Linked DNA regions of Neodiprion lecontei. The protein of the gene in region 1 purifies or fractionates together with the protein of each later gene. This does not show direct contact. Links are inferred from orthologs where the notes say so. Each region holds a gene or a part of one and is shown in the gene's direction. Other genes may lie near its edges.

Region 1 (3,927 bases):
GTCAGTGTATCACCGGTAAAAAAAAAGTCAAGATCCAAACGGGACGCAACTACCGCTGAAGTTAATCAGAAAGAGAAGATCCGGGTGTCTTCGACCTTGACAACCGAGCATAAAAATGAAAGCCGTAGTTCGCCTAAACTCGAGAGTTCTGGGGAAACCTTCTACGGGACAGGCTTCAAAGTAGAGGAGTATATTCCTAATGTGCCTAAGACAAAGGGAGCAGAGAACGGAGCGGACATAAAATATATTCCGAGCAGGAAAAGCGCCCTAGAAAATCTCAACAGGTCCGTCGACTCAGACGAGTACATTCCGGCCATCGTGAATGAAGAGGGCGTGGGTACCAGTGCCCTGGACGATCTGTACGTCCCGAATTCAGTACCAAAAATACTGAATTTCAACGAAACCTACGAGCCGTTCAGCTCGGCTATTACGACCAGCAAAATACCTGGTGAATACGTTCCTAATTCGAAAGGATTGAAAAAGAAGATGGAGGAGTACCAGCCGGACTTCACCAGCAAGACAATGAAGTTTGACAACAGCTACGTTCCGTCGAGCTCAGCAAAAATAATGGAGCTTAAGAAAAATGGTAGGAAGTCATCCCTGGGCGGCAGCAGTAGTAGCAGCAGTGGAAGCGCAAGGAAGAAGAGGAGTAGAGATACAGAGTCCAGTACTCGCAGGGAATCATCGTCTAGGAAAAAAAATTCCCCTGCCACTCAGAGTACGGGTGTTAAGCGAGAAATGTGATGTGAAATTCAACGTTTCAGGGATGAAGTTTCAACCAAGAGTAACTTCCATACTTTCGAGGTCTGATTTTAAAATATTCACCCAACAATAAGCTTTTACAAGATTTTCAAGAATACTCCGAAGCCAAGGGTCATCAAGTGTCCCTAAACTTTACGTCTTTGCACTTGTAAAGTCGTATTCAAGGTGACGAATTTGCTCGTTTCTTAGACATCTTATGTCTTTGTATTATTTAAGATAATTTATTCAATCTCTCCTAGTACTGTAAAGAGTTACAGACATCTTGTGTATAATCGTTCTATTTTTGTGTAATGAATTTCTGCTTTTCTTTTCGCAGCAAGTTTCCGAGAAAGATCGACACGGAACAACATTATTATTCCACTACGTTATATCTAACAAAGGTCTCAAAACAATATTAATAGCCTTTTCAGTTAGATTCAACTTACGAAAATGTTAATCTTTATCCGTAAAATTGCTTGAAAAAGCAAGCACTCGTCTATTCCTAAGTGAGGGTATTTGAGTAGTAAGAGAAATTTAGGGATGTATATCGTTTAATTTTCCCAATGTGGAAAGCGTGTGATATTTTTGTAAATAATATAAATGAATCAGAGAGTGGGTTATATATTCGTTGTACATGTTATATTTGACGTACTAGTAACAAAATGTGAATAACAGCAAGCTTATTATATCCATGATACATAGGTATATTTTTATCAGACAAAGTTAATAAATACACGTTGCTTATTGTCGTTAAGATCACGGAGTTAATTATCTTTTAATTCGTTCGTTTATCCTAGAGCAGCGAATAATGGAACCGGATCTTTCAGCGTCGGGCTTCGGACCATTCGAAACCATTTGATGTTTCGTCAGAGTTTGATTTCTTTACTTATAAGTTACGCCATGAAAAAATTCGAAATTTGTCGCTTTCGGGACTTTTAGTAATCCGGAATTTCAACCCCGCCCCATATTTGGGTGAATTTCGAAGAATCATGCGTGTTGCGACGGGGCGGCGCGCGTCGCGTGTAATAAATGTATATACACACATATAATAAAGTCTGTAAGGTAAAGCCACGAGTGGCCGTTTAAGTCAAATTACCGTGAATCGAACGGCGAAATACAGTGGTTGAAAATCTACCTGTCGGTCGGGGGGGGGGAGGGGGATGGGGGGTTTTAGTGGTGTTGCGAATTGTCAGGTGAATAGAAAAGCGGCGTTATTGCGTAATCCGTTTCGCGAACAGCGAGAGCGGTGGTGGGGTTTGGTCGGTGGCTATTTGAACCTTTGATTTGAACAGGAAATGTCGTACAGCGATGGCGGGCGTTCGATCCGCAAGTCGAGTACGAAGTCGCCGAAAAAATTGCGAGTGATAAAGAACGGCGACAGCGACAAGGTGACAACGACGACGATAAGCTACCACCACCACCACCATCACCACTCGGAGGGCCACGGCCCTCACCCTTCGATTCACAAGCGGAATTTGTACGTCGTCTCGTTCCCCCTGATATTCCTCTTCAACGTTCTGCGCACTTTGCTCTACCAGCTATTCGTGATATTCAAGTACTTCTACACGTCGACCTCGCGGCTATTCCTCAGGCGTAGCACCGCCAATATCGCCCACGGCAAAAAGAGCCTCAAGGCCAACTGTCATCTCGAGATTGTCGTCGGTCAGCAGGACGCTGACGGAACCGAGAAAGATAACCTCCTCAGCGTCGTCGACCCCGAGGCTGAACAGATGTCCCAGATTCCGAGACGCACCGCTGGTCCTGGACCCGGTGATCCTCTCCTCGCTAAACAGAAACACCACCACAGGAGGGCCTTCGAGTTCATCAGCAAGGCCCTCAAAATCGATGAGGAGAACGAGGGTAATCCTTCTTATCTGTCGCTGATCGTTATCTCGGCCTTGTTTACCTCTTCGAGTCCGGTAGAACCTCGATTATCCAAACTAATTGGGACCGAACCCAGTTCGGATAACCGAAAAGCAATTTTTATCTTAAGGGATGATAACATGTACAACAAAAATTTGAATCCACAAGCAGTCTATATTAAAAATCGAATTATACGTTTATCCTCTTTCAAACACAGGACGCTTATTTTATTGGTAGAAGCAATGTTACGATTGGACTGACGCCGGAAGATGAGAAATTCTCTCCAGCTTACTCGAACATGTTCAGGGCTTGCAAAACTGCAGCGAGTAACAATGTACATATCGTGCACCAGAATGTATTTTCTAAGCCAAAGTTCGGATAAATCAAGTCATGGTTTGGATAATTCAGGGTTCCACTGTACTCTCTTTGTTATTTAGAGGACTCTGTTCCAGTGTCAAAACACCTTTTTATAAGCCAGATATCCGTTTTATCCTGCCTAATGACAACCTGACACACCACAAAACAGGTCATAAAGAAATGGCTATCGAGCTCTATAAAAAGGGTATCGGTGAGCTGGAAAAAGGCATAGCGGTCGAATGCAACGGCGGACGTGGCGAAGTCTGGGAGAGGGCTCAGAAATTGCATGACAAAATGCGTGCTAATCTCGCCATGGCTAAGGATCGGTTGGATTTCCTAGGTAAATCAATTTTCATGTTCCTCTTTTTGCTATTTGCTGTATCCAAGAGCAGAAACTATGATCGGTGGCTGTTCATATGCCAGCAGCGACAGATTGAAAGGAACACTAAACATAGCGTCCGAAGTCCCGAAAAAATTCTTGAGTTTATGAAATCTTGAAAATCGTTATTTTTTTTGGTACGATTCTCATATTCTAAATTTACTTGCTTACAATTTTTCCGAGCATTATCAAAAACCACTCCTTTCCTGAAAAAGCATTAAAACTTGGTGCATTGTTAATTTTTTACTGGACACGCTTTGAAAACCCTGAGACTTGCAGACAAGTTTGTAGAGTAATTGCCAAAGTATGACATTCGCTCTTGGATGCACAATCAAACTGTGTGTAAATATTTGTATAATTTCAATATCTGTGTGTATCTATACGTCAATCTCCTATCTTCCACCTATTTCTCTTTGTTCGTTTCTTTGTTGGTTGTTGTACTACACCGCATGTCGATGTTTAGCTAACTTTTTTTTTACTCTCTTCTATTCGTGATTCATCTGTGATTATTTATTTATTTATTTTTTTGTTTTTCCAAATTTAAAACGAGCATCATCATTATCATAAGCATCGCTGCGTCGTAGTAC
Region 2 (3,927 bases), on another chromosome or scaffold:
TTGTATTTTTGGCGAAAATTTTCGAGAGTTCGAAAAGTGCCGAATTAAAATTTTTCATGCACTATTCTGACGTAATTTCGCGAGAGAAATCGATTGGGCGTAGACCTAATAAGCTGCGATCAACGTATCTCAAGTTACAGACAAAAAACGAGATTTCGAATTTTCGCCATTTTTCTGCAGGAGCTCTTTCCCACGTAATTTCTCTGCCGTTGGTCCTAGTTACTTTTCGCTTGTGATTTTTGAGTCCCAGGGGGTCCAATTAGTCAGAATAGGATCATACAAGTCAAATCTGAGATTATTTATTCATTATTTACCATGTGCTTTATTCTATTAAGGTTAGAATCTTATCATGTCCAACTTTTTTCATGTTTTTCATTCTACGGTCCACACAAAAATTTAAAAACAAATACATCACTCAAACAACTTCACAAGGGAGAAAGGCTTTGACCTGACTTATTCTTCATTTTGATACCGTTGGATATAGCGTTCTCTGTGTTGCCTATCTCAGCGACAACAGCACTCTTTTCGGATTTAACGCTAAAAATTTTCTCCACTTTCATAGACCACGTTCCCAACACAGCGTTCGGTCTCCCTACTTCTAGTCTTCATGGTTTCGCGCTTAGCTGACTACGGCGCTGTAGGTTTCTTCATGTTGCCAACTCAACTGTCTACAGTGAAAAATTAGCCGTCCCAGATTCATTGTCCTCAAGTGTACATGCGCATGCGCACGCGCTGTCGGCTTGCCGCACACTCAACTGGCGGAATGCGCGACCTAGTACGAAAATTGGTCCCCTATCGAGCACACCTTACTTGACTCCTTACATCATGGTCATGAAGATCGATTATCGAAATTCGAAGTTCGAACACCGGCTTCGAAAATGCGCACTGAAACGTACCAAAACAAATTGTGAAAAGATTATGCTGTCAGACCAATATCAAATTCAGTTGAATTACAATTTCTGATGCGTATTTGCCAGTTTCAAAGACCAAATTTTCTTGCATCATTTATTCATCCCAGTACCAACTCGAAATGGATCGTCCGAGCATGAGTGCATCTTTGGGAAACACTCTAACCTCACCACGAAAGAGAATGTCATTAACGCAGTCCCTGAAGAAGAGTAATTCGTAAGAAATCTTCCTACTGTATCATTGATTTCGCAATCCTTATCTCAGAATACGGGAAATATTTCGGCAAATTTCCACTTCAATGAATGATTAAAAATTTTCGAAATCTCTTCACCAAATGTAAATAATGTTTGGGATTGAATTCGTTGGATGAAGAAAAATACGATATATTTCCGAGAGAATTTCAAGCAGTCGGTTCAAATCCCCAGTTATATTTCCATGGCCCTGAAATATAGTTTTCTACATAACCAAACCATGTGTAAACCAATAATTTCTTAGCATGGTTCATAGCTAAGATGGGTAATTAGGGATACTGGGTAGACGAAACTTGATACTCTTCAATAGTCTTATTATGAGGTTGTCGTCCCTGGAGTATTCACCAAACTGTTATAATCATAAGTTGAGGAGATATCACCAAGTTTGAGAATACAAAAGTAAATATTACTAAAGTTATAACTGAAAGCTTAAGTATCAATGTTTCGTTTCCAATTGCTGAAAGACGGTTGCAAATATATCAGATTCCAGCCATTTGTTTCTGCAGGTCCTCATTTTATTCAAGAGACCATATTGTACATATTAAATCGAACAATGTCTTCATCATAATTGCATATCTGATTTTTTGATATTATAACATTGCACCAATTTCGATTATGGTCAACAAATGACAATATTAAATTAAACACTGAAAGAAAAAAGAAAATGTCTGAGAACATAGAAAATAGTCTTCGAAATAAAATAAACTCTAGTCTAATGAAATCAATCCACACTGCTAGATTTTTAACTTTTTCGAAGCAATTTGAGATCAAGTATCGGTATGTAAGCTCTTGTTTGAAATCCCAGTAATATTTATTTGGGTATTTTTAACGTGATTTTCGTAGCTTAAGAATATAGTAATTGGTTAAATACTCAGTGTATGACAACCTCGTAATAAAATTGATAACCAGTATCGATATTTGGCCCAAAAACCTCCTCAAAAAAATATCTATGTAATGTGAAACAACGTAAGTTAATTTTTTTCAAATATTGAACAAACAACGCACATACACGCGTAGCCACCGCTAAACATACTGCGGAACTTATAAAGTATCGTAAGATTTCACCTCTCATCGAATTTCAAATCCAGCTAACAATTAAAATGCGCTTATTTGTTCTCATCTGAATATAAATTGTTCAATTCCAGAGTAATAAGCATTTCGGGGCGATCGAATCAGTCTGTCCAAGTAATATGCAAGACGGCTGGCCATGTCGTGGAAAGTTTCGGACCTTCTTTGCCGGTTCTTGTGACCGAGGCATTGACGTTTGTTGATCGAAACACCGCAGTCAGCGTCAGTGTGTCTTTAGATGGATGGGCTTGGCTGGTTTGCGGGCGCAGGCTCCTTGTGTGGCAATGCAAAACAACCATTCATGATCCCAAGCTCAGGCGGACCTTTAACAGTCAATGTCGAGAGTTGCTACTTCCTCAAAGCGACCTTGCTCACAAAGCTGACTGCATTGCTGTCTGGCTGACTCCGGGTCATCAGGTTAGGTGTAAATCTAGGTGTAACAAGGAATAGCATACCTGAAGTTTCGATTGATCAAGCTTCAAGATTGGTCGGAAAGGATTCCAATAATACCGAGTAGATCACTGTAAGACTCGGCCACAGTTTTAATAATTCTCTACTTTTCAAAAGCCTCTCAGGTTTCATTCACTTTTCAGAAATTCGTCATCTAATCACAGTATTGGTAGAAAAGTTTGGTTTTCGATCAGACTTGGTTCATCGAAACTTCAAGCATATAGGTCATAAAGAATAAAGAATTTGGTGAACAGAAAATCAAGTAATTTAATTAATTTAGATGAGAAAAAAATTTGACAAATTTAGAAACCAGGCTCCGATTCATTTTTACTGGAGGCTTTCGACTTTAACCTGGAAAATTTTAGTCTTTCTGTAAGGATGTTGTTATTATATCGCATTTTATTAATCATATTTCTCATATTTCTCATTTTTTTAATACCAAGGTTCCTAGCTGCATGGCTGTATCTCCGGAAGGCGTAGTTCGCTACTGGTCAAGCGTCGCTCATGAGGGGTCGTCGGTGGAAACAAGCGCAGAATTGGCTGGACAGGAGGTTGACTGTCTAACTTACGTACCAGGGCACGGTTGCATTTTAGCAACGACGACTTGCACAGTGGCGCTTTTGCAGCCGCAATTTACCAGTGGACGAAACAGCATTTCTTGCCGAGTTCTTCGCACCAGCCAAGGCTGGCTAGGAGGCATAAGTCGTAGGATGTCTTCCTTGATCTTTGGAGCCATGCCTCAATCTCCAGTCACTGAAACAGTACTGAATTTTTTAATTTATTTAGCATTTTTAGAGGGATTAACTAGGCTCAAAGTATAGTATAACCACCACTCACGAAATCATATGAAATCCTTTGAAATTATACGGTGAAATCTCAGGAAATCTACTGAAATCCCATGAAACCTGTTGAAATCGAGTGAAATTTTTTGAAATTCCTAACATTTTATGAAATATTCTGAAATCCTGTAAAATCCTGTGAAACCTCCTGAAATCATTTAAAATATTTGATATTTTTGTAAATACAAGAATCCCCTGAGACTTCATAAACTGTTTTCAAATTGTTTGAAATCCGGAGAAATTCTGTGGAATCTTGTGAAATCATTAGAAACCACCAGAAATCACTAGAATCCTTTGAAATCTTATGAAATTCTGTAACATTCTGGGAAATCTTGTAATATCTATGAAACCTTAATCCTTAAATCTGCTATACACACAAATTGATGAATTTATTTTCAAATAATTAGTGC

The links.
Region 2: the proteins of spastin (region 1) and nuclear pore complex protein Nup133 purify together in Homo sapiens (affinity purification with mass spectrometry; 3 studies listed by BioGRID and IntAct, counting the BioPlex papers as one, with this or other methods). This does not show direct contact. The link is inferred for Neodiprion lecontei from reciprocal best matches to the Homo sapiens genes SPAST and NUP133.

The regions. Positions count from the first base shown.
Region 1 is NC_060266.1:1,222,537-1,226,463, forward strand, and holds the start of spastin, read left to right. Parts: upstream 1-1,647; 5' UTR 1,648-2,036; coding exon 2,037-2,601; intron 2,602-3,130; coding exon 3,131-3,301; intron 3,302-3,927. Other genes in the region: uncharacterized protein LOC107218303, read left to right, coding at 1-744. UniProt on the Homo sapiens protein: ATP-dependent microtubule severing protein that specifically recognizes and cuts microtubules that are polyglutamylated.
Region 2 is NC_060264.1:18,456,946-18,460,872, reverse strand, and holds the start of nuclear pore complex protein Nup133, read left to right. Parts: upstream 1-1,695; 5' UTR 1,696-1,824; coding exon 1,825-1,937; intron 1,938-2,305; coding exon 2,306-2,645; intron 2,646-3,121; coding exon 3,122-3,439; intron 3,440-3,927. UniProt on the Homo sapiens protein: Involved in poly(A)+ RNA transport. Involved in nephrogenesis.